Linked DNA regions of Anolis sagrei. The protein of the gene in region 4 interacts with the protein of the main gene of each other region in a pairwise test. Links are inferred from orthologs where the notes say so. Each region holds a gene or a part of one and is shown on either strand. Other genes may lie near its edges. The genes, in order: CSNK1D, WT1, tumor necrosis factor alpha-induced protein 8-like protein 1 and DVL3.

What was found.
Region 1: the proteins of DVL3 (region 4) and CSNK1D interact in binary tests that used the Homo sapiens proteins (3 or more experiments, as listed by UniProt). The two-hybrid records come from large-scale screens. The link is inferred for Anolis sagrei from reciprocal best matches to the Homo sapiens genes DVL3 and CSNK1D.
Region 2: the proteins of DVL3 (region 4) and WT1 interact in binary tests that used the Homo sapiens proteins (3 or more experiments, as listed by UniProt). The link is inferred for Anolis sagrei from reciprocal best matches to the Homo sapiens genes DVL3 and WT1.
Region 3: the proteins of DVL3 (region 4) and tumor necrosis factor alpha-induced protein 8-like protein 1 interact in binary tests that used the Homo sapiens proteins (3 or more experiments, as listed by UniProt). The two-hybrid records come from large-scale screens. The link is inferred for Anolis sagrei from reciprocal best matches to the Homo sapiens genes DVL3 and TNFAIP8L1.

What each region holds. Positions count from the first base shown.
Region 1 is NC_090022.1:114,330,507-114,338,524, reverse strand, and holds the start of CSNK1D (casein kinase I), read left to right. Parts: upstream 1-5,012; 5' UTR 5,013-5,252; coding exon 5,253-5,328; intron 5,329-8,018. UniProt on the Homo sapiens protein: Essential serine/threonine-protein kinase that regulates diverse cellular growth and survival processes including Wnt signaling, DNA repair and circadian rhythms. It can phosphorylate a large number of proteins.
Region 2 is NC_090021.1:257,607,591-257,614,590, reverse strand, and holds the start of WT1 (Wilms tumor protein), read right to left. Parts: upstream 3,010-7,000; 5' UTR 2,614-3,009; coding exon 2,181-2,613; intron 1-2,180. UniProt on the Homo sapiens protein: Transcription factor that plays an important role in cellular development and cell survival. Recognizes and binds to the DNA sequence 5'-GCG(T/G)GGGCG-3'. Regulates the expression of numerous target genes, including EPO.
Region 3 is NC_090034.1:49,776,810-49,784,826, reverse strand, and holds the start of tumor necrosis factor alpha-induced protein 8-like protein 1, read right to left. Parts: upstream 3,018-8,017; 5' UTR 2,752-3,017; intron 1-2,751. UniProt on the Homo sapiens protein: Acts as a negative regulator of mTOR activity.
Region 4 is NC_090023.1:264,637,245-264,644,163, forward strand, and holds the start of DVL3 (segment polarity protein dishevelled homolog DVL-3), read right to left. Parts: upstream 3,022-6,919; 5' UTR 2,911-3,021; coding exon 2,696-2,910; intron 1-2,695. UniProt on the Homo sapiens protein: Involved in the signal transduction pathway mediated by multiple Wnt genes.

The DNA.
Region 1 (8,018 bases), on a different chromosome or scaffold from region 4:
TACACAACGAATACTGAGAAGTGGTTTTGCAAGTTTTTTACTCTGAAATCTAGCCTAAAGCACCTGTCTATCTGGTTGGTTTAGCATCTATTCACACCTCTCAGCTGATCACAGTGAAAACTGGAATCAGCTTCAAACCAGAATTCATTCTAGGACTGTTGGATAATCAAATAAAAAAGGAATGTTAGAAAATAGTGCAGTACACGTTAACAGTAACAAATCCTACATCATCAACAATGGAAAAAGAAAGAAACAGATTGGACAGTGAAAATTTGGGAATAGAAATTGATAAGTTAACCATTTTGTTGAAGGGGAAATCACTGGACACATTCTTAGAAAAATGTTTCTATTAATATGTATCTGAGGGAATGTTTTGTATTAATATATATGAGGGAAATTGAAAGACAGTTTTTGAGATAGTCAGCAACCTGCTGGATATAAGGTAGAAGAAGAAAAAGTTAAATTATAGGGAAACTGGTAAAGGGGAAGCAGGAAATCCTTTTAAAAAACTAATTCATGTATATTCTTTTGAAGATTCCATTGATTGTAAAACACACACCCACAGTTCTAACACACCTGTTTTTAGAGATATTTATATATGGGAAAGTGAACCTTAGAATAGAAGAAAAAAGATTTGTTGGTGCTTTAATTACATGTAATTAGAGTAGATGTATGTCAGTGTGAAAATTGTGTAGCTGGTATTTAATTGTTCTTTACGTTTTAAAATATATATAAACATTGTTACTTTTATTTGTGTTTCTTCGGTTAAATTTTGCATTTTAGAAAAATGGGGGAAAAGGAGAAATTTACCTAAGATCTTGCTAGCTCTCATGTTGGTCTTTGGAAAGACCTCTTAGTCTGAATCTTCACAAACCATATAATGCAGCTTGAAGCTAGCTCAAGGTCATGGTGTCCACAAAGCATACATCCCCAGTATGCATTAAGCCAGAAACAGTGTATTCAAATGCAGTATACATTAAGCCAGAAACAGTGTGTTCAAAAACACCAGAAAGTTCAAAACAAGCCAAAAATCCACTGCAGCCAATCAGAGTATATTCCATGCAGACCTCCAATCTGGGACTGGAAAATGAAGAATGCTTGCTAGGACACCTGGTGATGACGTGCTTTAAAAATGCAGAAATAGCTGGAAGGTAAATAAGAAAAGACATCATTCCCATGGGAAAATTCACTTCCCACACCTCTGTTCCGATTTCCTGTTTCCTGCCTCTGTCTAGCAGTGATCCCGAAAGGACATGGTGATGCATCTCAGTGAACTGGGTAAGAAAGAAAACATTCTTGGGTTCAATTGCAAACTGCAAAAAGCGGATGCTGTGGCCACCTCATTGAACCATTCCTGGGGTGTTTGTGTAAGCAAGAATGCACAGTGAAAGAGGTCCATTTAAATCCACCTCCAAACAGGATGATGATGATGATGATTAACAACTTTCTTTGTACACAGCCACCATCTCTCAGAGGGAATCTAGGTGGCTCACAAAGCACTCAAAGGTGCAACCACACAAAATACAGAAAGTGTAAACAACCATAAGTGAACAACCAACATAAACATCATAACTTCACAATACCCCCTGGTTAAAACCAAAATACAGTGATAGCTGCAGGTAAAAACAACTGTAGTCAGTTTCAGTCTTGTAAAGTGCTTGATAAAAAAATCTATAGGTCATATATATAGATTATAGTGTCTCTATAGTGTTAGAAGAAGCCTTAATTTTAGGGCTACAAAAGTAATAGGGTATATTTACTTTTATTATATGTTTTGTTATGGATTGCTGAGAGTATGGATATTTTATTTTGTTCTACTTAATTTTCTTTAAGTTATATTTTTTCAGTTACAAAAAAATTAAAAAGACTGTCAGCCCTTGATGAGGGGAAATAGAGACGCCTAGTGTTCTACATGTGGGTTTTTCATTTCTAATTATTCTAAAAGAAATTCAACAATTAAGTTGAAGCTCATCTTTCTTTCATTCAAGCTGTGAACAACAGAATCCTAAGTTTGAAGGGACGGCAATGGCCACCTAGTCCAGCCATGTTTCATAGAGGGTTTACTGCAAATGTTCCCTTGAGAGATGGGCCTTAATCTTGTTTAATATAATGACGAAGTAGGTCATGTTAGAGTAAGGTACCTTGACTAGGTGCTGTTCCATTAGCCGGGTGTAGGCCGCCAGGGGGCGCTAGCTGAAGCAGTAAAACCATCCCCCCCCCCCCCCCCCCCCCCGTTTCCTGTTATGAAATGGGAAGGGGGAATAATCAACAAAAACTAAGGAAATGGCTTTCCTCTTTCAAACCCCCCACCCCCAACATGGACTATCCTCTCTCTCTCTAGCACACCCTGGTGGCTTTTGCCTGTGTCAGAAGCGACTTGAAAAAAATGCAAGTCGCTTTTGGTATGAGAGAACTGGCCATCTGCAAGGACGTTGCCCAGGGGACGCCCAGATGTTTAATATTATACCCTGCTTATAGGAGGCTTCTCTCATGTCCCTGCATGGAGCTCTGGAGCTGACAGAGGGAGCTGAAACTGTTACACTGAGTCCCCTGAGGGGTGAGAAGAGCGGGATGGAAATGAAGTAAAGAAATAAATGTTTCACAGAGCTCTGGACATTGCTGTTTCTTTAAGGTGCTGGGAGTTTCAATGCAGCACAGGCTTAGAGGCCTTCACCTCGCCAATGCACTGTATTGCTTAGGCCAGGCATGTAGCCGGGGGGGGGGGGGGGCTCGGGGGCTTCAGCCCTTCCCCCCGAAATTTTCATGGTGGTTCGCGAAAAGGCCTTATTGGTGCATTATTTAAACTGTTATGTTTATTCATATCATGATCTGATCACCATACTCAATATATCCCATATGCATGGGGGTATTGGGGTAATGATACAAAAGTTTGCTAGGCTAGACCCTCTTTCACTCAGACTCAGCCCCCCCCCGAAACTCAGCCCCCCCCCGAAACCCCCCCTGAAAAAAAATCAGCCCCTCCCCCCCCCCCCCCCCCCCCCGAAACGAAATCCTGGCTACGGGCCTGGCTTAGGCTATTTTTCTTCAGGGGAGGGATAGTCATCAGCTTGAAATGATTACATGCCTTGTTGTTGTTCATTCGTTCAGTCGTCTCCGACTCTTCGTGACCTCATGGACCAGCCCACGCCAGAGCTCCCTGTCGGCCGTTACCACCCCCAGCTCCCTCAAGGTCAGTCCAGTCACTTCAAGGATGCCATCCATCCATCTTGCCCTTGGTCGGCCCCTCTTCCTTTTGCCTTCCACTTTCCCCAGCATAATTGTCTTCTCTAGGCTTTCCTGTCTCCTCATGATGTGGCCAAAGTACTTCAACTTTGTCTCTAGTATCTTTCCCTCCAGTGAGCAGTCAGGCTTTATTTCCTGGAGGATGGACTGGTTGGATCTTCTCGCAGTCCAAGGCACTCTCAGCACTTTCCTCCAACACCACAGCTCAAAAGCATCGATCTTCCTTCGCTCAGCCTTCCCTAAGGTCCAGCTCTCACATCCGTAGGTGACTACAGGGAATACCATGGCTTCGACTAGGCGGATCTTTGTTGCCAGTCTGATGTCTCTACTCTTCACTATTTTATCGAGACTGGACATTGCTCTCCTCCCAAGAAGTAAGCGTCTTCTGATTTCCTGGCCACAGTCTGCATCTGCAGTAATCTTTGCACCTAGAAATACAAAGTCTGTCACAGCCTCCACGGTTTCTCCCTCTATTTTCCAGTTGTCAATCATTCTTGTTGCCATAATCTTGGTTTTTTTGACGTTTAGCTGCAACCCAGCTTTTGCACTTTCTTCTTTCACCTTGATTAGAAGGCTCCTCAGCTCCTCCTCGCTTTCGGCCATCAGGGTGGTGTCATCTGCATATCTGAGGTTGTTAATGTTTCTTCCAGCAATTTTCACCCCAGCTTTGCATTCATCCAGCCCCGCACATCGCATGATGTGTTCTGCATACAAGTTAAAAAGGTTGGGTGAGAGGATGCAGCCTTGCCGTACGCCTTTCCCAATCTTGAACCAGTCTGTTGTTCCGTGGTCAGTTCTGACTGTTGCTACTTGGTCCTTGTACAGATTCCTCAGGAGAGAGACAAGGTGACTTGGTATCCCCATACCACCAAGAACTTGCCACAATTTATTATGATCCACACAGTCAAAGGCTTTAGAATAGTCAATGAAGCAGAAGTAGATGTTTTTCTGAAACTCCCTGCCTTTCTCCATTATCCAGCGGATATTGGCAATGTGGTCTCTCGTTCCTCTGCCTTTTCTAAACCCAGCTTGAACATCTGGCAACTCTCGCTCCATGTATTGCTGGAGTCTTCCTTGCAGGATCTTGAGCATTACCTTACTGGCATGAGAAATAAGGGCCACTGTACGGAAGTTGGAGCAGTCCTTCGCATTTCCCTTTTTTGGTATGGGGATATAAGTTGATTTTTTCCAGTCTGATGGCCATTCTTGTGTTTTCCATATTTGCTGGCAAATGGCATGCATCACCTTGACAGCATCATCTTTTAAGATTTTAAACAGTTCAGCTGGGATCCCGTCGTCTCCTGCTGCCTTGTTGTTAGCAATGCTTCTTAAGGCCCATTCAACCTCACTCCTCAGGATGTCTGGTTCTAATTCATTCACCACACCATCATAACTATCCTCAATATTATTATCCTAGCTTTGATCTATCCACTGAAGAGATTGTGATACCTTCATAGTGAGGCATGTGCCTTAATTTTACAATGTCATTCGCCTCCTCTGCCCAATAGTGCTGGCGCCTCACCAAACGACAGCTCCCAAGATTCCCTAGAACTGAGCCATGGGGGTTAAAGCGGTGCCAAACTGCATTAATTCTTGAGTGTGGCGGGCGCCCTTTTCGGCGAGGGCTATAGCAGGGGCTCGCCGCGGCCTCGGCGGTTGCCTGGGCGACGGCCCTGGCTCCGGCTCCCGGCCTCACAATCTGCAAGCCCCGCCCCGTTCCCGCCCCTCGAGCCGCCTTCCCTCCCGGGGAGGCGCAGGCCCCGCCCTCAGTTGTCAAGGAAGTGAGGTCACACAACATGGCGGCGGCTCGGCCCCAGCTGCGTTGAGCGGGAGGGGGGATCCGGGTCTCGGGGAATCGGCCTCCATCCTCCCCAGCCGGGGCGCGCGGCCGCCCCCAGACCCCTCCGCCGCCGGGAGACGGGCCCCGGGCCGCCATGCTCGCCGTCCTGGCCTCGCTCTGAGCCGGGCTCCGTCCTCGCCGCTGGGTTGGGTCCACTCGAGCCGCGCCGATGGAGTTGAGAGTCGGGAACCGGTACCGGCTCGGCCGGAAGATCGGGAGCGGTTCTTTCGGGGATATTTACCTCGGTGAGGAAGAGGAGGAAGCGGGCGGTGGAGGGGAGGGCTGGCCGGGGTCCGGCGGGGCCTGCTCGGCCTCAAAGAACCGCCGCAACCCGGCAAGGGCTGCCTGTCGCCTCACCTCGGGCTTCTCAGGCCTTGTTTACGGAGGGTGCGCCTACATTGTCGAATAAATGCAGGTTGACAGCACTTCAGCTGCCATGTCTCAGTGCTGTGGAATCCTGGGAGCGGTAGTTTTCCAAGGCCTTACGCTTCCTCTGCTCAGTAGCCCTGGGGCCTCCTCAAACGGCCCCTCCCTGGATTCCGTAGCTGCTCCCCTTTGCAGTCAGTGGTGCCGGCCACCAGTCTTCCGTGTAGGCCTCACCCTTTCCCGAGACTTCCTCAGGGCAGAGCCCCTCGCCCTCCCCGCTTCCTCCTTCAAGAGAAACTTCCTTGGTGACCTTGGGCCGCCGGCCGCCCTCTTCTCAGCCGGCCTCCCTTGGCTGGAGCAGGAAAAATCAAGCCCGTCCTCCTTCCAAAGCATGGACTGGACCCAAGAGTTTTGACTTCAAAGCCTGGTCTTGGCCAGGACCGCAGGCCTTGACTATTGCTTCAACCGGGGCTGTAAAAGCCTCCAGGAAGTAGCTCGCTTTTACAAAAAAAATTGCCCAATGCTGTGTTTTGTGATTGCAAAATCGCTCATTTTGTGGCTTGGGGTGCTTTCTGCCTTTTTGGTTTTTAACCTGGACTTCCGGTAAATGGGATGGTGGGCCCTTCCACATCCATATAACTCAGAATATCAAGGCAGGTAATTCCATAATATCTGGGTTATCTGAGGGCCCTTCCACACAGCCTTATATCCCAGAATATCAAGGCAGAAAAACCCACATTATCAGAGTGTAGACTCAGATAACCCAGTTCAAAGCAGAATTGTGGGATTTTCTGCATTAATATTCTGAGATATAGGACTGTGTGGAAGGGCCTTGAGTCCACACAGCCATATATTCCAGTTCAAAGCAGAAAATGAGGGATTTATTTATTCAGCTGTGTGGAAGGAGCATTTTGTTCCTTTCTGAGGTGTAAAATTCTGGTTATTTGCAACCCAGTCCCCTAGTTTTGATGACAGCATAATTGTGAATCTAAGCCAGAGGCCTGCTGACTTACTTCTTTGGTGATGAATCTTTAATAAACCCCCAGGGATGTGGGTTTTCGCTTGCATTCTGCATATGGTAAGCTAGCCTAGGTGTCTCCTTTCAAAGTGGTAGGCTCTATGCAAAGGTAAGCCAGGAAAAAAAATCTGATGGTCTGTCAATTAGTTCAAGGTTCAGTCCCACGAAGGATTAGGCCTATGCATTGCAGTATACATTTGAGTAGCTTTAATGGGATTGCTGACTTTGCGTATTGTTGTACAAAGGGAACAGCCAATCCAAGTCTGAGCTCCTATGTTTAAAAATAAATGTGAATATCGAAAGCAGCAAATCCATATTGCCAAGGCTGCTATTTCTTTGTATACAAAAGGTTACTTCCTTACCTGATCTAGTGCTTCCTTGCCTGATCTAGTGCTTTTCTGACAGAATAACATTAAATATCTTATAGTGTTTTGTTCTTACCTATCTTTTAGGAAAGGGTGTGAAATGTCAACATTTCTGTTGAAATAAATGCTTTATGTCTTTGATCAGATCTTTATTCAGAAAACTTTGGAAGTGCAGTCTTCTGAAATCCTTCTTGGATGTTGTCTTTGCTTCCTCCTTGTAAATAATAAACTTTAAGGGATTTCTTTTGCTTGCATACTACACAAAATTATACATACAAGGGTGTGAACCCATCAGGACAAAAGATTATCATTTGGTTGCAGCTTCCCCTTTAATTAAAAGTGTTGTGCAGGTTGGAAAAACTTTGTTAAAAGTCAGAGAAGGCTTTTATTAATCTTGTCCCTAATAAAATGTTATATCTGCTTGTGGCAGCGACCCATTAGATTTTTTAAATTTTTGAGAAAGATGTGCAAGAAAGGGCATAGATACCTTTATGATTATGATTCACACTAAAAATGGATCTTAGGTTATGTATATTTCTTAACCATCACATCTATTACTCTTGCCTTTGTTTTATTTACCAGGCTTGAGTTTCTTTTCGCTCTGATACTTAGGAAGGTTCAAAGGATAGTGTAAAACAGGACAGTGAAGATATTTAAATTATTCACCACTGTTGTCCCACCTGATGGGGGAAGAGAAGGATGATGACACTTTCCCAAATTCTTAATCCTAGAACTTTGATTCCCTTGTAATACAGAGAAGACTTCAGAACCTTGACACACGAAATTGTCAGATCCTTTGGCATAGTCTTGTTTTGGTAGCTGCCCAGGGAAGAATATCCTTGTATACTAAAAACATTTCCAGTCAGATATTTTCTTAAACTTTCTGAGTGTTGTAACTTTCGCCATCCTTTCTTCCTCATGTCCGCATTTTAGAATTAAGTTGAATTTAGGAGATATTTCCATTTACTGAAATTAAGACATTAAGATCCCTTACTCATGTGGTGTCATTTCCTGCTTCTTTGAGAAGTTTGCATTATTATTAACAGTAAAAGGTATTACTCCTATTTATGAGGCAAGAATCACAGGTTATTAATTAGTTGATATTGTATATAGGGATTCATTTCAAATAAGAGTTTCTGTAGGTAGTTTGAAATAAGAAGATGGAATTCCTGCAATGCAAAACTTT
Region 2 (7,000 bases), on a different chromosome or scaffold from region 4:
CACGACTTTGAGAAACTGCAAGACGCTTCTAGCGTGAGAAAATTGGCCGTCTGCAAATAAGTTGCTCAGAGCACAACCGGATGCTTTACCATTCTGTGGGAGGCTTCTTTCATGTCCCGTATGGGAAGCTGGAGCTGACAGGCGGGAGCTCACCCCAACCCGCCCTGGTGTTTCTATGATGCTAGAAATGTGGTACTGGAGGATCCTCATTGAGGGGTGGAAACCTTCTCACTTGTGCCTGTCCCTCGAAGCTACACAACTAGTATTTTTAAATTTATTTTTAATTGGTGGGGCATGGGGGGTACCCATAAACACTGGGGGCTGAATCCACTCGCTCCTCCCAATTAAATGAAGACCGAAATGTAACCTCTGGGTTCAAACTAGAAACATAGAATCCTAGAATTGGAAGAGACCTCATGGGCCATCCAGTCCAACCCCTTGGCAAGAAGCAGGAAAATCGCATTCAAAACACCCCGACAGATGGCCATCCAGCCTCTGTTTCAAAGCCTCCAAAGAAGGAGCCTCCACGACACTCCCGGGGTTCTTCCTCATATTCAGGGGACTCTCCTTTCCTGTAGTTTGAAACCATTCTTCCGCTTCTGTTTAATCCCCCCCCCCCCCCCCGGGGTCAGGAGCTACTTGAGAAACTGCAAATGACTTCTGGTATGAGAGAAATGGCTGTCTGCAAGGACTACCCAGGGGATGCCCAGATGTTTTGATGTTTTACCATCTTTGTGGGAGGCTTCTCCCGTGTCCCCACATGGGGAGCTGGAGCTGACAGAGGGAGCTCATCCGCTGTTAAGCCGCTTTGAGTCCCCTTGGGGGAGATAAATAATGATGATGATAATAATAATAATAATCTGCGTTTGAGGATGCACCTTTAAGTCGCCTCTCCACCTCTCCTTTTCTACTACTGATAGTCTTTAGCAGATTTGGGAGGATGGTGATTCCATGAATTTCAAAAGACATGTCACAGATGGATTTGTTAGTGCCTTCTCCGCTCCGAGTCCCTTGTTGGGAGATGGGGCAGGGTATAAATAAAGTTTTATTATTATTCTCGCCTGGTTTTAATTGGCGATCTCCCCTCTAAGTATTAACCAGGGCCGCCCCTGCTTAGCTTCCAAAATCAGAGAGGATCTGGGCAAAATCCCATCCCTCCTCCCAGTTGGAGTGAATGGATAATAAGACCACTTATTATGCCAAAGCTGACGCAACCCATTGGCTTCATGGATCCTGCCGGGCGTGTGTGCCTACCAGTTGCCTGCCCATTTATGGCGACCCCGAGGATTTCCCTGAAATACAGCCTACAGTTACAAACACCCGACTTACAAACTACTCAGAGTTGAGAAGGCGACTGATTTTTTTTTCTCGAGTGTGATGAGAAATCTAGAGAAGAAATCCACTTAAAATCCGGTTTCTGCCTCCTGTAGAATTCTGGAGTTTGTAGTTTAGGGAGGGGCCTTTAACAGCCTCCCTAAACTACAAACCCCAGAATTCTGCAGGAGGCAGGAACCGGATTATAAATTGATTTTTTTCTCTGGTGTGATGAAGTGGTAGAGGAAGGGAAATTCCCTGCTGAAGCTTTCTCACCAATCCTTGTTTCCACAACAAGCCATTTTTTGCAAAACCCAATTGTCACAGGGACAGAAAGTGAAGTGAAGAGAGGCATTGTCCGTAGACACCTCCAAGGTCATGTGGCCAGCATAACTGCACGGAGCAGTCAACAAGCCATTTCCCCCTCCAAAAAACCCAGTTGTCATAGGGACAGAAAGTGCAGTGAACTCTGGTGAACAGAGGCACAGAGAGCAAAACATATATATTTGGCTGGAGTTACGCTTAAAAACTGTTCCTGTTCCGACTTATATACAAATCCAAGTTAAGAACAAGCTTATAGAACAGGCATGGGCAAACTTGGGCGCTCCTGGTATTTTGGACTTCAACTCCCACCATTCCTAAAAGCCTCAGGCCCTTTCCCCCTCAGCCGCATAAGCGAAAAGGAAAGGGCCTGAGGCTGTGAGGAATGGTGGGAGTTGAAGTCCAAAACTCCTGGAAGGCACCAGCTTGCTCATGCCTGCTACTGAACCTATCTTGTTCACAACTCAGTGGCTACCCATCCAACTACCAACCAAGGTCGGCCCTGCTGAGCTTCCAAGATCAGATAGGATTTTAGCCCCACTTACCTTGGTTGCGGAGGGCCTGTTGTCCCTCGAGGCAGCTGGGCAGGTAGGGGCCCTGGGGGAAGAGGCGCGCCTGGGCGGGGGGCGCCTGGCTGGAGGGCGGGGGCGGCGGCGGCGGCGGAGGGGGCGGGGGCGCCCCGTAAGCCCCATAGCGACAGGCGCCGGCTGTGCCCGTGAACTGTCCCGAGAAGTGGACGGTGAAGGCGCTGAGGCACTGCTCCTCGTGGGGGTCCGAGGCGCTCCAGCTGGGCTCCTGCTTGATGAAGGCTGAGGGGGGCGGCGGAGGATGGGGCGGCGGAGGGGGGCCGGCCAGCGAGCCGTAAGCGGCGCCCGAGGGGAAGTCCAGCACGGGGCCCCACTGCGCCGGCATGGGGCAGCCCCCGTTGCCCGGGGGAGGAGGCAAAAGCGCGTTGAGGTCGCGCACGTCGGAACCCATGGCCTCCGCCGAGCCCGCTTTGCGCCGCGCAGGGAACCACTCTCCGCCGCAGGAGGAGGAAGAGGAGGAAGGCTTGCCCCAGGCGCTGAGGGGCTCCGGAGGGAGGCACCAAGTTGAGGAAGAGGAGGAGGAGGTGGCGGCGCTGCTCGGGAGCCCCTTCGGGACGGGCAGCCCAGCCCCCGGGTCCAGCCCTGCCAGCGCCAGGGCGAGGTTGGCCTCCAGGGTCGCCCTTTGGGCCCCGAAGGAAGGAAGGAAGCAAGCAAGGCAGGCAGGGAGGGAGGCAGGGAAGCTCCGTGCTCGGGAGGCAGCAGGAGAGTGGCTTCTCCTCGCCGCGCCGGCTTTGCCCTCCGAGTCCCCAAAACTCCGCCAAGTGAGGCGGGGGAGGAGCCAGGCCCAGGCACGCTCTCTTCCCCCCTCCCCCCTCCTACGCGCGTGGGCGGTGACACGGCCTCCCCTCCAGCTCAAGGGCCGCAACCCGGCCACGGGACACCACGCTCTCCCCGCGCCACTTTCTCTCCCGGGGACTCAGGAAGCCGAGGGTGTTCAACACGGGACGCAGCACTCTCCAAATCCACCGATTCCCCCCCCCCCCCCCCACACACACACACGTCTCTCCCGCTCGGAATTCCCCTTCGGAATTGGGGTGGGATTCCCAAACGAAGCCTAGGCTAAGGCTGCCACTGCCTCGCCTGCTGAGAAGAGACAGTCTCAGGCAGGCATCCTCAAACTGCGGCCCTCCAGCTGTTTGGGCCTTCAGCTCCCAGAATTCCTGACCACTGAACAAACTCGTTAGGGTTTTTGGGAGTTGGAGGCCCAAAGAGGTGGAGGGCCGCAGTTTGATGATGTCTGATCTCAGGCTTCGGAGGCTGCTGAGGGGGAGGATAAATAACCCATCTAAGAGGGCTGAATGAATGAAAAGTAATGCCTCCGCCTTCGTAACTCCTCAACAGATGGCAGTACTTGTATGCGGCAGGTACTGGCTTGTTCAGTAGACTCTCCTATACAGTTCCATTTTGGCAGGAAGCCTTAGTGTTGATTGTTATGGTCGGTAAATGTGACTTAAGCAACGTGCAGTCTTGACAGCAGAAAGTGTCACCTCAACATCTTTAAACTTACTCGCCTAATGACGCACAGTACTCACATCAACACAATCACCATAAACAGCTTGCATTCTCTGATTAATCTTCTTTGGGGTGACACCTTGTGCTGTCAATAATTCAATGACTACTTAAGTCGTATTGACAGACCTTGGCGCAGGTTCCATACTTTGCACTTTAACAACACAACCGTTCAATGCTAAGGCTTCCCGCCAAAATGGAACTGTAGGGGAGAGTCTACTGAACGAGCCAGTACCTGACGCATTCCAGTACTGCCATCTGTTGAGGAGTTACGAAGGTTGGAGGCATTACTTTTCATTCAACCCTAGTACACTGCCAGAGAAAATCCAGATCATCCGCTTTGCACTGGATGGTATTAGTCATACTGCCATATATTCCAGTACACGCCGATAATCTGGTATTGATCTGGCTTTGTAGACGGGGCCATGGACTCCGAAGGTTTAGTGTAGGAAAGGGAGGACAGGAGTGTGGGAATGGGGTTTCCTCGGTGGAGGGTGAGTTAAATCTTGTAGACGGGGGAAATGCCTCTTGGGAAGGCACCCAAGGCTACTTTGCATGTCCAACCACAGGTGGAAATCCGGACAGTCGTACTGATCAAGATTGCTTCATCAAATTGGATTGTCCGCGTCCAACCTGAGCTGCATACATTAAGACTCCGTTCTTTTTACCTTCTACCTCAGAGGGGTAGGCACTGGGGCCTCTTCCCAAATCCCATCCTTTCAAAGTAAAAAATAAGAAGACCCCGCTTTCAGTGAAGCGCTTCACTGTTCTGCCAATGTGGATCCCATCTCTATAAACTGCGGAATAAGTATTTTAGGAGCTGGTGGGACTCATATGTTGCTCAAAGGATTGAGCTTCAATTAATTTCGCCCAGAGCCCGCAGTGGGGAAAGTCCCTTTTTACGAATGCCAGGGAGCCTTTTCCCCATTCCGTCCACCCGTGGCAACAAGAGCCTCGTAGAATGCTTTGAACAGCGTTGAATTGGAGGGATTTTCCTTAGTGTTCTTCACCAAACAACTATAACTTTCAGGGGATGGAAAATAACAATCGGGATTCAAGCCACTTCCGGAGCAATGGGTTCAACTCTTGTGCTGACAGGACTGAAGACTGACAGGTCAGAGGTTCGAATCTGTGGAGAGCACGGATGAGCTCCCTCTGTCAGCTCCAGCTCCCCATGCGGGGACATGAGAGAAGCTTCCCACAAGGATGGTAAAACATCCGGGCGTCCCCTGGGCAATGTCCTTGCAGACGGCCAATTCTCACACACCAGAAGCGACTTGCAGTTTCTCAAGTCGCTCCTAACAAGAAAAAAAAGGGCGGGCTGAGATTTGGCGCGGATCTGAATGAGGACTCTGGGAGGTCTGGGTTAACGTCTTCAACTTTGGAAACCCACCGAGTGGCCTTGGGCAAGTCACACTCTCTCGGCCCTTCTGAACAAATCTTGCCAAGGAAGTCTCTGCAACGTCTGAGTGCAAAAGTATTGAATTCGTGGTTTTACATGTGTGATATTGCCTACCATTCGGAATTTTAAACCATAGAAGACGTTATTTGAGAAAGTCAAATACTTTTTTGGAGGATAAGAACTCAAAGGCTCTAAACATTGTAAGCCCCGCTCTAGGGAATGCATCTACATTGTAGAGTTAACGCAGTTCAATGTATTGTCGAAGGCTTTCATGGCCAGAATCACTGGGTTGTTGTAGGTTTTTCGGGCTGTTATAGCCCAAGAACCTCACAACCTCTGAGGATGCTTGCCACAGATGCAGGCGAAATGTCAGGAGAGAATGCTTCTAGAACATGGCCATTAACTTTTCAACTCCCCGTGGCCCCATAGCATTGAGCCCCATGGCAGTTCAAATGAAGCCAAACTGCCTCAGTTCTAACGTGATGAGCCCAAGGTTGCAAGAACGCTTCTATGGCCTCATCGCACTAGAGAATGAATCTGCTTTAAATCTGGTTTCTGCCTCTAGCAGAATTCTGGGTTTGTAGTTTAGGGAGGCCTTTAACAGCCTCACTAAACAACAAAACCCAGAATTTTGCAGGAACAGAAACCGATTTAAAGTGGATTCACTCTCTAGTGTGATGAGTAGTAAATACAAGAAACTGGGAAATAGTGGGCAGAGAGAGCCTTTAGGTGGGGTGGTTCAAATGTAGACAACAGTTTACTGCAAATTCCTCGATGGAAAGGAGAGGCTCAAATGCCGGACAATGGGGAAAGGGGTTGAATTCAATTATTTAAACGTGCCTGAACCAACATTCATTTTAGGTTGGCTGTACTTGAGTTATCTGAAGGAAGAAATTTTAAAAAGAGGGAGGAAGGAAGGAAGGAAGGAAGGAAGGAAGGAAAGTGTCCAGTAAATGAGATTACCTCCTATCTAGAGCTCATTGAGATGTATTTATGCCAGCTCCTGCTTATTTGTTTCTCACCCACATAGAGGGTAAACCTTTGTGCCAGCAGAACTGCTGAACTAAAGGTCGGGGTCGGCTGTTCGAATCCGGGGAGCGGGGTGAGTTCCTGTCTGTCAGTTCCAGCTTCTCATGCAGGGACATGAGAGAAGCTTCCCACAAGATGGTAAAACATCCGGGCGTTCCCTGGTCAACGTCCCTGCAGAGGGCTAATTATTTCACACCAGAAGCGACTTCTAGTTTCCCAAGTCCCTTCCGACGCGATAAAAATTATTTAATTTTCTTCTGACATGTGTATTTTTCTGCTCCAGATTTCCCGATCTAGCAAAAAAAAAACAAAAAAAAAAACAAACATCTGGGCCACATCCATCCCTTTTAAAAAAATCATAGTTATGAAACTTTCCTCAGAGTAAACCGTTGTGGCAAACAGACCCTGGGTGCATTTCCACTGTTGTATGAATGCATTTGGACACCACTTTAACTGCCATGCCTGGATGCTATGGAATCCTGGGAGTTGTAGTTTTACACGATCAGGATTGCTGTGAATTTTCCAGGGCTGTATGACTATGTTCCAGAAGCATTCTCTCCTGACGTTTCGCCTGCATCTATGGCAGACATCATTAGAGGTTGAGAGGTCTGTTGAAAACTAGGCAAGTGGAGTTTATATATCCGTGGAAAATCCAGCCTAGTTTTCAACAAACCTCACAAGATCTGAGGATGTCTGCCACAGGTGCAGGCGAAATGTCAGGAGAGAATGCTTCTAGAACATGGACATACAGCCCGGAAAACTTACAGAAACCAGTGATTCCAGCCATGAAAGCCTTCGACAGCACATTTTTACAAGATCCTTAGCAGAAGAATTCTGG
Region 3 (8,017 bases), on a different chromosome or scaffold from region 4:
AATAAATAAATAGGCTTGAAATATTATTATTATTATTATTATTATTATTATTATTCACTGTACCACTTATTCTTTATTATAATTTTCTTTATTTTTACCTTGCTTACTTGATTCTGCCTTTACAAGAAATGATATAATAATAATAATAATAATAATAATAATAATAATAATATCAGAGACTACCTGATGATGACAAAGATTATGATGATGATGATGATGATGATAATAATAATAATAATAATAATAATAATATACTGTGGAAGTTAATATTAATAACAAGTACAATGAGTTACATACAAGCTTGGCAGTGGAAGAAGGGGAAAAGAAGGAAATCAGAGGAAGAAAAGAATAGAAGGGAAAAGAAGGGAAAGAGCAAGAATAAGAAGAACAGAAAGAGTGAGAAAGGAGGAAAGGAGAAAGGAAATGAAGAAGAAGAGATGGACAGAAGAAGAGAAGGAAGAAGAAAGAGCAAAGTCAAGGAGTGGAAATGAAGTAGGAAGAGATGAAGAGAAGGAGGAAAGAGGAAAAGAACAATGAAGAGGAAAGGGAGGAGGGGAAGAGAAACTAGAAATAGAAGGGAAAGAAGCGAAGTATAGAAAGATGAACGGAGAAAGGAAGAAAAGAATGAAGAAGGGAAAAGAAAGGAGGAAAAATAAAGGAAGAAGAGAAGGAGGAAAGAGGAAAAAATGATGAAGAGGGAAGGGAGGAGGGGAAAAGAAGAGGGAAAGAAGCAAACTACAGACAGATGAACGGAAAAAGGAGGAAAAGAATGAAGAACCAGAAAGGAGGAGGAAGCAAAAGGAAAGGAAGAAGGAAAGAGGAAGAGAATGATGAAGAAGAGGAAAGGGAGGAGAGGAAGAGAATCTCAAGAAGGAAGAAGGGAAAGAAGCAAAGCTCAGAAAGAAGGAGTGAAAAGGAAGAAATGAATGAAGAAGGGGGAAAGAAAGGAGGAGAAGCAAGAAGAAAGGAAGAACAAAAGGAAGAAGAAGGGAAGGAGGAAAGAGAAGAAGAGAATGATGAAGAAGCAAGAAGGGAAAGAAACAAAGTACAGAAAGGTGAACGGGAAAAGGAAGAGAAGAAAGGAGGAAAGAGAAGAAGAGTGATGAAGAGGAAAGGGAGGAGGGGAAGAGAATCAAGAAGGAAGAAGGGAAAGAAGCAAAGTACAGAAAGATGAAAAGGGAAGAAAAGAATGAAGAAGGGGAAAGAAAGGAAGAAGAAGGGAAGGAGGAAAGAGAGGAAGAGAATGATGATGAAGAAGGAAGAAAGGACAGAAGCAAAGTACAGAAAGATGAACGGGAAAAGGAAGAAAAGAATGGAGAAGGGGGAAAGAAAGGAGGAGGAAGAAAAGAGGAAGGGAAGGGAAGAGAATAAGGGAGGAAAGAAAAGAAGAGTGATGAAGAGGAAAGGGAGGAGGGGACGAGAATCAAGAAGGAAGGAGGGAAAGAAGCAAAGTACAGAAAGATGAAAAAGGGGGAAGGAGGAAAGAGAGGGAGAGAATGATGAAGAAGGGAAAGAAGCAAAGTACAGAAAGATGAACGGGGAAAGGAAGAAAAGAATGGAGAAGGGGAAGGAAAGGAGGAATAAGAAAAGAAGAAGGGAGGAAAGAGAAGAAGAGAGCAATGAAGAGGAAAGGGAGGAGGGGAAGAGAATCAGGAAGGAAGAAGGGAAAGAAGCAAAGTACAGAAAGATGAAATGGGAAGAAAAGAATGAAGAAGGGGAAAGAAAAGAAGAAGAAGGGAAGGAGGAAAGAGAGGAAGAGAATGATAAAGAAGGAAGAAAGGAAAGAAGTAAAGCACAGAAAGATGAACGGGGGGAAAGAAAAGAATGGAGAAGGGGGAAAGAAAGGAGGAAGAAGAAAAGAAGAGGGGAAGGAAAGAGAAGAAGAGTGATGAAGAGGAAAGGGAGGAGGGGAAGAGAATCAAGAAGGAAGAAGGGAAAGAAGCAAAGTACAGAAAGATGAAAAGGGGGAAGGAAGGAGGGAAGGAGGAAAGAGAGGAAGAGAATGATAAAGAAGGAAGAAAGGAAAGAAGCAAAGTACAGGAAGATGAACGGGAAAAGGAAGAAAAGAATGGAGAAGGGGGAAAGAAAGGAGGAGGAAGAAAAGAAGAAGGGAAGGGAAGAGAAGAAGGGAGGAAAGAGGAGAAGAGTGATGAAGAGGAAAGGTAGGAGGGGAAGAGAATCAAGGAAGAAGGGAAGAAGCAAAGTACAGAAAGATGAAAGGGGTGAAAGAAAGGAAGGAGGGAAGGAGGAAAGAGAGGAAGAGAATGATGAAGAAGGAAGAAAGGAAAGAAGCAAAGTACAGAAAGATGAACGGGAAAAGGAAGAAAAGAATGGAGAAGGGGGAAAGAAAAAAGGAAGAAGAAAAAGAGAAGGGAAGAGAAGAAGGGAGGAAAGAGAAGAAGAGTGATGAAGAGGAAAGGGAGGAGGGGAAGAGAATCAAGAAGGAAGAAGGGAAAGAAGCAAAGTACAGAAAGATGAAAGGAGGGAAAAGGAAGGAAAGAATGCAGAATGGGAAAAGAAAGGAGGAAGCAGAGGGGAAGAGGCTATTGTTTTCTGCTCCGATAGCAAATAACAGCATTATATTATTTTCTCCTTTCTTTGGAAGGTCCTCCCATTTCTCGTCTTCCGACTAAAACAAGGGCAGAAAATTCAGTGCAGAAAAGCATGAGCTCGGCACATTTTTCCCCGCTGAGATCAAGTCCGTGCAATCCTTTTCTGCCCTCTGGATCCCTTTTTCCTTCCTTTTCTTACCTGCATGTTCTGCATCCAAAGATCGGGGCCTTGCAGTATATATATTCAACCCCTAAATCTTTTTTTTTTCTTGCAAATACAAAATTCGGAGCCTTTTCCTTGCAAAATGAAAAATTGTATAGCTTTAAAGCAATGGCTTTGTATCCCTTCTTTTCTTCCTTGGGGGGCGTGGGGGCTTTGCTATCGGAATCCCTCCTGGGATCCAAGGTTGAAACTTGACGCTTTTAAGACTCTGAAAGAGAGAGAGATAAAGTTTCAAATTCAAAGAGAAAGGGGAGGGGGGATGGAATGACAGCCGAGGGGGCCAATCGCGGAGCAGGGCCTCCTACGAAGCGGCCAATGGAAATGCAGCAACAAAAGGGGGCGGGGTTTGGGGATGGAATCGGAGAGGCAAAGGAAAACAAGGCAAAGTCAGTAACCATAAGAGACCCAGGTTCGAATCCAGGCTCAAGCCTTCGTCAAGTCACATACTCTCAGCTTCAGATAAATAAATAAATAAATAAATGAGAAAATAAATGATAATAAATGAATAAAATAAGAAAAAATAAGAAAATAGGAAAATAAAATAAGAAAAATAAAATAAATAAATGCTAAATAAATACACAACTTTATTTGTAGCCCGTGTTTGTATTTGGACTTTGAGTTGGGAGGAAAGAAGGGTCACACTCTCTCAGCCTCCAACCGTGATGCAAAACCCTCTGCAATGCATAGAGATACATCCACAACAAAAATAGATCACACCTGGAATATTGTGTCCAATTCTGGGCACCACAATTGAAGAGAGATATTAACAAGCTGGAATGTGTCCAGAGGAGGGCGACTAAAATGATCAAGAAGCCCTATGAGGAGCGGCTTAAGGAGCTGGGCATGTTTAGCCTGAAGAAGAGAAGCCTGAGAGGAGATATGATAGCCATGTGAGAGGAAGTCGTAGGGAGGAGGGAGCAAGCTTGTTTTCTGCTTCCCTGGAGACTAGGACGCGGAACAATGGCTTCAGACTACAAGAAAGGAGATTCCATCTGAACATGAGGAAGAACTTCCTGACTGTGAGAGCCGTTCAGCAGTGGAACTCTCTGCCCCAGAGTGTGGTGGAGGCTCCTTCTTTGGAAGCTTTTAAACAGGGGCTGGATGGCCATCTGTCTGGGGTGATTTGAATGCAATATTCCTGCTTCTTGGCAGAATGGGGTTGGACTGGATGGCCCATGAGGTCTCTTCCAACTCTTTGATTCTATGATTCTATGAAAAGGTGGATGTCCATCTGTCGGGAAGGATTGGATTGCTCTTTTTCCTGCCTGCAGGGAGTGGGTTGGACTGGATGACCTTTGGGGACCCTTTCTAATTTTAATAATAATAATAATAATAATAATAATAATAATAATAATAATCTTTATTTCTACCCCACCACCATCTCCCCGGTGGGGACTCAGAGCGGCTTACATGGGGCCAAGCCCAGACAACATAATACAGCATAAAATCAAAACATATACAACAGGCAACAACAACATTATCAAAATGACATCAAAATAATAATAAAACAATAATAAAAAAATAAAATAAAAATTCCAATAGACATTCTGTATTCTGTTTAGATAGATAGAGATACATGTTTATTTATGTTTGCTTTAGTAATTGCTTATTATGTTTTGTATTTGATTGCTGCTGATTTTATACTGCATTTCACTGTTTTTTCCCCTTTTTAATTAATTATTTGACACAATCTCATATATAATCAGAAAATATACGTTCAGAAATAATGAAACATGTCTAGATCTGTATGTAGATGGCAACTTGTACAAAGTAAGTATAACATATTTTACCATTCACTCGAGTTTAAGGCACTTTTAAAGGAAAATCCATGCAAACTATTCGTAACTAGAACTGTTTCCCTCTAGCTAACAGCAATATCATATGCAAATATCATATGCAATATCATATGCAAAAAATAAAATAAAAATGCCAATGGGTTTTTTTGTGTTTTTTTTGGAAATTCCTTACAAGGCAATATATCTTCATTATCATTTCACTGTTGAAAGCCGCTTTGAGTCTCTTTGTGAGGGAAAAGGGCAGGATATAAATAAAGTTTATTATTATTATTATTATTATTATTATTATTATATACATATATATAATGTTATATATAATAATATATCATTATATATAAATATAAATATGATATAAATACTATTTATTTATATTTATTGGCATTCTAATATTTATTAGGGGGGAAAGCCATTCTTTGATTTCGTTGTTTATGAATGTTCCCATTAGAAAATACATAAGAATGTGAGTGAACTACCATTCCCAGAATTGTGGGTCAATCCTTCCCAAACCAAGCTTGTATGCACAGCTGGCCATGTTGGGTCTGTGTGCCAAGTTTGGCCCAGATCTAGCGTCAGCTGAGTTCAGTGCTCTCTGGATGCAGGTGAACTACAACTCCCAAAATCAAGGTCAGTTTGTTCAGTTGGTCACATGGGTTCTCTATGCCAAGTGTGGTCCCAGTACATTGTCGGTGGGGGTCACTGTTTCTCTGAATGCTGGTGAACTTTAACTCCCAAAATCAAGGTGAATTCTCACAAACCCCTTCAATACGTTCAGTTCATCATGGGTCTTCTCTGTGCCAGGTTTGGTCCTGGTCTATTGTCGGTGGGGGTCACAGTATCTCTGGATTCCAAGGGCAATCATCCCCAAAGTCCGCCTGAATTCACAGTTGAGCATGTTGGGTCTGTGTGCCAAGTTTGGTCCAGATCTGTTGAAACACAACAAGATTAGTACACAGTAAATAAGATCATTGTATTGGATCACACATCGGACACTTCCCAAATGTCTAGGACTGTGTGATGTATCGGCGAATAATGCATGCAGATCCCAGTAGGGTGGCCCTTTTCAGCTGACAGATGGTGATTTTGTCAGCGCTGATTGTGCTTAAGTGCAGGCCAAGGTCTTTAGGCACTGCATTATTATTATTATTATTATTATTATTATTATTATTATTACTACTACTACTACACTATTGTTCCTGGGTTATCAATTTCCTAATTGGCTGTACACTAAAAAAAATGCGGAAAGCTGATTAAAGTGGCAAAACTTTGTTATTGCGGGAAACAGGAAATAACAAGTTCAAGCCAGGAACAGATTTTTCTTGGATCGATATAGGGCAGGTTTGACCTCTCCCTGTGACACTTTTTGTGGGCCGCTTCCTGCGCCTCTAGCTTCTGTTTCCTTTCTTTTGTAAGCTTGGCATGGATGAAGAGGAAACATTAGTCATCCATAGCCTTCCCCGGCCTCCAAACAGAAGCTGGATGGCCCTCTGCCGGGAAGGATCGGATTGTGTCTTCCTTCTCTGGCTGAAGGGGGTTGGATTGGATGGCCTTTCAGGATTCCCGTTCTAATCTAGAATTCTGTGGAAGTCTATAAACAAGAAGTTGGATGAGCACCTGTCAGGAGGGATGGGATTGTGTCTTCCTTTGTCTTGCAGAAGGGGTTGGATTGGATGGCTTTTAGGAGTCCCGTTCTAATCTAGGATTCACTGTAAGTCTATAAACAAGAACTTGGATGAGCATCTGTCAGAAGGGATCGGATTGTGTCTGGCAGAAGGGGTTAGACTGGATGGCCTTTAGGAGTCCCTTTATCAGCTGAGCGACGTTGGAGATGGAGCTTAAGAGAAGATGAAGCGGCGCTTGAGGAGAAAAGGCGGGAAACAGCGGCGTGCAAACTAAAAGGTGCAACGCTCCAAGCCTATTGGAGGGCTGTTTGGAAAAAAAGAGTGGCATCCTTATAGACTAGTAATGGATGCTGAAAGGGTTGGCCTTGATCAGGATGAGATGGTGAACAGGAGAGAAAAAAATGAATCCAGGAGACCCTGGATTGCCATACCTACTTCTGATACAGAATCCTAGAGCTGATAAAATGAAATGCAAAGATACAGAATGGGGGAAGCCTGGCTCGAGAGCAGTACGTGTGAAAAAGATCTTGGGAGTCCTCGTGGACAAGTTAAACATGAGCCAACAATGTCCTGTAGTGGCAAAAAAGCCAATGGGATTTTGGCCTGCATCAGTAGGAGCATAGTGTCTAGATCTAGGGAAGTCATGCTACCTCTCTATTCTGCCTTGGTTAGACCACACCTGGAATACTATGTCCAATTCTGGGCACCACAACTGAAGGGAGATATTGACAAGCTGGAATGTGTCCAGAGGAGGGTGACTAAAATGATCAAGGGTCTGGAGAACAAGCCCTATGAGGAGCGGCTTAAAGAGCTGGGCATGTTTAGCCTGAAGAAGAGAAGGCTGAGAGAAGATATGATAGCCATGTATGAATGTAAGAGGAAGTCATAGGGAGGAGGGAGCAAGCTTGTTTTCTGCTGCCCTGGAGACTAGGATGCGGAACAATGGCTTCAAACTACAAGAAAGGAGATTCCATCTGAACATTAGGAAGAACTTCCTGACTGTGAGAGCCGTTCAGCAGTTGAACTCTCTGCCCCGGAGTGTGGTGGAGGCTCCTTCTTTGGAAGCTTTTAAACAGAGGCTGGATGGCCATCTGTCAGGGGTGCTTTGAATGCAATATTCCTGCTTCTTGGCAGGGGGTTGGACTGGATGGCCCATTAGGTTTCTTCCAACTCTATGATTCTAGGAGACCCCCAAGGGCCACCCAGTCCAAACTCCCTGCCATGCATGATGCAGGAAATCACAAAGCACTCCCAATAACCTCTGTGGAAAAGCCTCCAGAGAAGGAGACTCCACCACACTCCCAGGCAGTCTAGGCCACTCTCCAACAGCTCTTACTCTCAGGAAGTTCTTCCTAATCTTTTCAGTCAAATCTCTTTCCTTGCCATTTGAACCCATTGCTTCTTTGTGCCCCGGTCTTGAGCATCAGAAAGTGAGTTTTCCCCCTCCACCTCAATGGGACTCTGTTTGAAATCCTAAAACATGGTTCTCATGTTCCCTCTCTACTGTCTTCTCCCAGCTAAACATCCCCCAGTAAGAAGGAAAAAGAGAAGGAAGGGTGGAATAGAATGGAGGGGGAGAAGGCATGACAAAAGGAAAGGGAGGAAGGAGAATGGGAAGGGAGGATGAAAGGGAGGGAAGGAAGAGAATGGAGGGAGAGGGGAAAGGAAAGGAAGGATGGAAGAAAGGGAGGGAGGGAGGACAAGGAAGGATAAATAATGTTATCGTTGGGGGTCACCACAACATGAGGAACTGGATTAAGGGGTCGTGGCACTAGGAAGGCTGAGAAACACTGCTATAGAGGATGGAGCAGCCCCTTGGGCCCTCCT
Region 4 (6,919 bases):
TTTGCTTTATTGTAATTTGTTTGGGCTTGGCCTCATGTTAGCCGCCCCGAAGTCCCTTCGGGGAGATGATGGTGGGATATAAATAAAGTTTCTTATTATTATTTATTTCCTCCTGCAGTCAATGGAGGTCAGGCATGGGCAATGTTTATGCCAGGCATGGGCAAACTTGGGCCCTCCAGATGTTTTGGACTTCAACTCCCACATTTCCTAGCAGGCACAGGCCCTTTCATTCCCCCCCCCCCTCAGGGGTCTGAGACTGCTAGGAATTGTGGGAGTTGAAGTCCAAAATACCTGGAGGGCCCAAGTTTGCCCATGCCTGGTTTAGGCCTTTATTTATTTATGACATTTATATGTCGCCCTTCTCACCCCGAAGGGGACACAGAGTGGCTTACAAGATATATATACATACAATATATTATTAGCATAGTTGAATATCAGTATTATATACTGTACTATACCATTATATTGTAATATTACATGTCATATGAAATATATAATTATAATATCATTATTAGTAGTAGAACTAGCCATCCCCTGCTACACGTTGCTGTGGCCCAGTCTGTGTATATGTGTTTTGTGTGTGTATATATGTGTTTATGTGTGTGTGTGTGTATTTGTGTGTTCATATATATAAGTATATTCATATATATATATATGTGTGTGTGTGTGTGTGTGTATATGTCTGTATATATTTATATGTGTTTATGTGTATATTTATGTGTTCATATATATATATGTATATTCATATATATATGTGTGTGTGTATATGTGTCTGTATATATTTGTGTATTTGTGTGTTTATATGTGTACATGCACATTGTGTATATGTGTGTGCTTGTCTATAAGCATAATTGTGTGTATGCGTATGTATATGTATGTGTGTATATGTGTATATTTGTGTGTGTTTGTGCATATATATACGTGTGTGTATATGAATGTGTGCATATGTGTATGTATATGAGTGTATGTGTATATGTATATATTGAGTATTTTGGGGGGTTTTAAGTCTGTTCTGCTGGGATTTTGTGTGTGAGTGTGTGTGTGTGTATTTTTAGGGGTGATGGACACTCGTTGGACTGTTAGATGTATTGTATCCAAATTTCGTGTCAATTCGTCCAGTGGTTTTTGAATTATGTTAATTATATGTATCTACAATATATTATATTATATGTATATACAATATATTATATTACATTGGTTTATATGCATATACAATATATGATATTACATTATATGATATGTGTAAACAATATATTATATTACATTATATTATTTTTATATTATATTATATGTACATACAATATATTATATTATATGTATATACAATTTATTATATTACATTATATGTGTATACAATACATGTATATGTATATTTTATTGTATATGTGTATACAATAAAAATAATATTACATATTATATTATATGTATATACAATATAATACATTACATTATATTATTTTATATTATATTATATGTAGATACAATATATTATAATACATTATATTACTTTATATTATATTATATGTATATACCATTTATTATATTACATTATATTACTTTATATTATATTATATGTATATACAATTTATTATATTTATTTTATTATTATATTTTTTGTTACATTATATTCTTTTTATATTATATTATGTACATACAATATATTATATTATATGTATATACAATATATTATACTACATTATATTATTTTATGTTATATTATATGTATATACAATGTATTATATTACATTATATTATTTTATATTATATTATATGTATATACAATTTATTAAATCACATGATATTATTTTTATATTATATTACATGTATATACAATATATATTATATTATATTATGTGTATACAATATATTACATTACATTACATTATTTTTATATTATATTATATGTATATTCAATATATATTACATTATATTACTTTATATTATATGTATATACAATTTATTATATCACATTATATTATTTTTATATTATATTATATGTATATACAACATATATTATATTCTATTATGTGTATACAATATATTATATTACATTATATTCTTTTTATATTATATTATATGTATATTCAATATATGATATTACATTATATTACTTTATATTATATGTATATACAATTTATTATATCACATTATATTATTTTTATATTATATTATACGTATATACAACATATATTATATTCTATTATGTGTATACAATATATTATATTACATTATATTCTTTTTATATTATATATATGTATATACAATATATTATATTACATTATATTATATGTATATACCATTTATATCACATTATATTATATTATGTGTATACAATATATTATATTATATTCTTTTTATATCATATTATATGTATATACAATTTATTACATCAATAATATTATTATATTCTTTTTATATTACATTATGTACATAAAATATATTATATTACATTCTATTATATGTGTATACAATTTATCATATTACATTATATTCTTTTTATATTATATTACATATATATATAATATATAGTATTACATTCTACTATTTCTTTGGCGTAGGTCCATTGTCCTCTTGAGGGAGGACATCTCCGTCTACACTGCCATATAACCCAGATTATCTCCTTGCGGGAGACAGACAGACACAACACAAAAGCCAATGGACAGGAGGAGGAAGCGGGCCTGCCTGGGCGCCTCACCCGAAGTCGTCGTCCATGGACTTGAAGTAGAACTTGTAGCTGGGCCGGTTGAGGAGGGCCTTGAAGTCTCCCAGCGTGACCCGCTCGGCCGGGATGGCCACCTTCACCAGGTACGGCGTCTCCTGCTCGTCCAGGTGGTAGATGATCTTCGTCTCCGCCATCGCTGACGAGGAGGAGGAGGCTCCTACTGCTGCTGCGGCTGGAGGCGCCGCCATGGCTGCTCTCTCCCTCGGGGGGCTCGCTCACGCCAGCCCGGGGCTCCGGCAGCGCCTGCAGGCCCAAAAAGCAGCAGCAGCACAAGCAGCAGCACAAGCAACACAAGCCCCGCCCCCACCTCGCGCGGCTCCGCCCCTTCCGCTTCCGGCCTCCTCAGAGTGGGTGTTGCTCCAAGGAAGGCGCTTTCCACAACACTCCGAGGCAGAGAGTTCCACTGCTGAACAGCTCTCCCAGTCAAGTTCTTCCTCATGTTCAAGTGGAAGATCCTTTCGTATCCTTTGAGCCCAGGCTTCTCCCTCATCCAGGCTCGGCTTCAAAGCCTCCAAAGGAGGCTCTACCACACTCCATGGCAGAGAGTTCCACTGCTGAACAGCTCTCCCAGTCAGGAAGTTCTTCCTCATGTTCAGGTGGAAGATCCCATCGTATCCTTTGAGCCCAGGCTTCTCCCTCATCCAGGCTCTGCTTCAAAGCCTCCAAAGGAGGCTCCACCACACTCCATGGCAGAGAGTTCCACTGCTGAACAGCTCTCCCAGTCAAGTTCTTCCTCATGTTCAAGTGGAAGATCCTTTCGTACCCTTTGAGCCCAGGCTTCTCCCTCATCCAGGCTCTGCTTCAAAGCCTCCAAAGGAGGCTCCACCACACTCCAGTGCAGAGAGTTCCACTGCTGAACAGCTCTCCCAGTCAGGAAGTTCTTCCTCATGTTCAGGTGGAAGATCCTTTCGTATCCTTTGAGCCCAGGCTTCTCCCTCATCCAGGCTCTGCTTCAAAGCCTCCAAAGGAGGCTCCACCACACTCCATGGCAGAGAGTTCCACTGCTGAACAGCTCTCCCAGTCAGGAACTTCTACCTAATGTTCAGGGGGAAGATCATTTCGTATCCTTCTCCCTCATCCTTATGACAACCTCGACAGATGGCCATCCAGCCTCTATTTCAAAGCCTCCAAAGAAGGAGCCTCCACCACACTCCAGGGCAGAGAGTTCCACTGCTGAACAGCTCTCCCAGGCAGGAAGTTCTTCCTCATGTTCAGGGGGAAGATCCTTTCGTATCCTTTGGGCCCAGGCTTCTCCCTCTCCCTTATGACAACCTCTGCTTGAAAGGCTCCAAAGAAGGAGCCTCCGCCACACTCCAGGGCAGAGAGTTCCACTGCTGAACACCTCTCCCAGTCAGGAAGTTCTTCCTCATATTTAGGTGGAATCTCCTTTCCTGTAGAATCCTAGAGTTGGAAGAGACCTCATGGGCCATCCAGTCCAACCCCATTCTGCCAGGAAGCAGGAATATTGCATTCAAATCACCCCTGACAGATGGCCATCCAGCCTCTGTTTAAAAGCTTCCAAAGAAGAAGCCCCCACCACACTCCAGAACAGAGAGTTCCACTGTTGAACAGCTCTCACAGTCAGGAAGTTCTTCCTCATGTTCAGTGTAGAATCCTAGAGTTGGAAGAGACCTCATGGGCCATCCAGTCCAACCCCATTTTGCCAAGAAGCAGGAATATTACATTCAAATCACCCCTGACAGATGGCCACCCAGCCTCTGCTTGAAAGCCTCCAAAGAAGAAGCCCCCACCACATTCCAGAACAGAGAGTTCCACTGCTGAACGGCTCTCCCAGTCAGGAAGTTCTTCCTCATGTTCAGATGGAATCTCCTCTCTTGTAGTTTGAAGCCATTGTTCCGCGTCCTAGTCTCCAAGGAAGCAGAAAACAAGCTTGCTCCCTCCTCCCTGTGGCTTCCTCTCACATATTTATACATGGCTATCATGTCTCCTCTCAGCCTTCTCTTCTTCAGGCTAAAGATGCCCAGCTCCTTAAGCCGCTCCTCATAGGGCTTGTTCTCCAGACCCTTGATCATTTTAGTTGCCCTCCTCAGGACACATTCCAGCTTGTCAATATCTCCCTTCAATTGTGGTGCCCAGAATTGGACACAATATTCCAGGTGTGGTCTAACCAAAGCGGAATAGAGCATGGGGAGCATGACTTCCCTAGATCTAGACACTATGCTCCTCTTGATGCAGGCCAAAATCCCATTGGCTTTTTTTGCCGCCACATCACATTGTTGGCTCATGTTTAACTTGTTGTCCACGAGGACTCCAAGATCTTTTTCACACGTACTGCTCTCGAGCCAGGCCTCGTCCCCCATTCTGTATCTTTGCATTTCGTTTTTCCTGCCTAAGTGGAGTCTCTTGCATTTGTCCCTGTTGAACTTCATTACGTTAGTTTTGGCCCATCTCTCTAATCTGTCAAGATCGTTTTGAATCCTGCTTCTGTCCTCTGGACTATTGGCTATCCCTCCCAATTTGGTGTTGTCTGCAAACTTGATGATCATGCCTTCTAGCCCTTCATCCAAGTCATTAATAAAGATGTTGAACAGGACCGGGCCCAGGACAATACAACAACAATAGGTTGTTGTAGATTTTTTTCAGGCTATAGAGCCATGTTCTAGAGGCATTCTCTCCTGACGTTTCGCCTGCATCTATGGCAAGCATCCTCAGAGGCAGTAAGGTCTGTTGGAACTAGGAAAATGGGTTTGTATATCTGTGGGACAAAGAACTCTTGTCTGTTGGAGCTAGGTGTGAATGTTTCAACTGGCCACCTTGATTAGCATTTGATGGCCTGGCAGTTGTTTGGTGTGGCTTGTTAGTGCCTGGAGCAATCTTTTGTTGAGAGGTGATTAGCTGTCCCTGATTGTTTCCTCTCTGTTGTTTTGCTGTTGTAATTTTAGAGGCTTTTTTTTAATACTGGTAGCCAGATTTTGTTCATTTTCATGGTCTCCTCCTTTCTGTTGAAATTGTCCACATGCTTGTGGATTTCAATAGCTTCTCTGTGTAGTCTGACATGGTGGTTGTGAGAGTGGTCCAGCATTTCTGTGTTCTCAAATATTATGCTGTGTCCAGGTTGGTTCATCAGGTGCTCTGCTATGGCTGACTTCTCTGGTTGAAGTAGTCTGCAGTGCCTTTCATGTTCCTTGAGTCGTGTCTGGGCAATGCTGCTGCGTTTGGTGGTCCCTATGTAACTTGTCCACAGCTCCATGGTATACACCAAGCAGTAACAAGCCACGCCGAACAACTGCCAGGCCATCAAATGCTAATCAAGGTGGTCAGTTGAAACGTTCACACCTAGCTCCAACAGACAAGAGTCCTTTGTCCCACCCTGGTCATTCCACAGAGATATAAACCCAATTTTCCTAGTTCCAACAGATGATGAAGAAGAACTTTATTTTTCTACCCCGCCTCCATCTCCCCAAGGGGACTCAGGCGGCTCACATGGGGCCAAGCCCAGGCAACATACAATTAAAAGCAAAGCAACAACAAGTTACAAATTAAAATGACACAAAACAGCATAACAGTAATAAACAAGCATCAAGCAACAGCAACCCAAATTTTGGAGGGGGAAGGAGGCCAACATACAAATTGATTAAAAAGTAAATCTATATATATATAAATGCTCTGTGCATAATGAGTAGCTTAAAAACAAAAGAACCAATGAACGAAATCACACCAAATTTGGCAACAAAACATCTCACTACACAAGGAGTGACCATCACTCAAAACATTATGATTTTTCACTTGGGAGTTGTAGTTGCTGGGATTTATAATTCACCTGCTATCAAAGAGCATTCTGAATTCCACCAATGATAGAAACGAACCAAACTTGGCACACAGAACTCCCATGACCAACAGAAAATACTGGAAAGGTTTGGTGGGCATTGACCTTGAGTTTGGGAGTTGTAGTTCACCTACATCCAGAGAGCACTTTGGACTCAAACAATGATGGGCCTGGACCAAATTTGGCACAAATACTCACTATGCCCAAATGTCAACACTGGTGTTGTTTGGGGAAAATAGACCTTGACGTTTGGGAGTTGTAGTTACTGGGATTTATAGTTCACCTACAATCAAAGAGCATTCTGAACTCTATCAATGATGGAATTAAACCAAACTTGGCACACAGAACTCCCATGACCAACAGAAAATACTGGAAAGGTTTGGTGGGCATAGACCTTGAGTTTGCGAGTT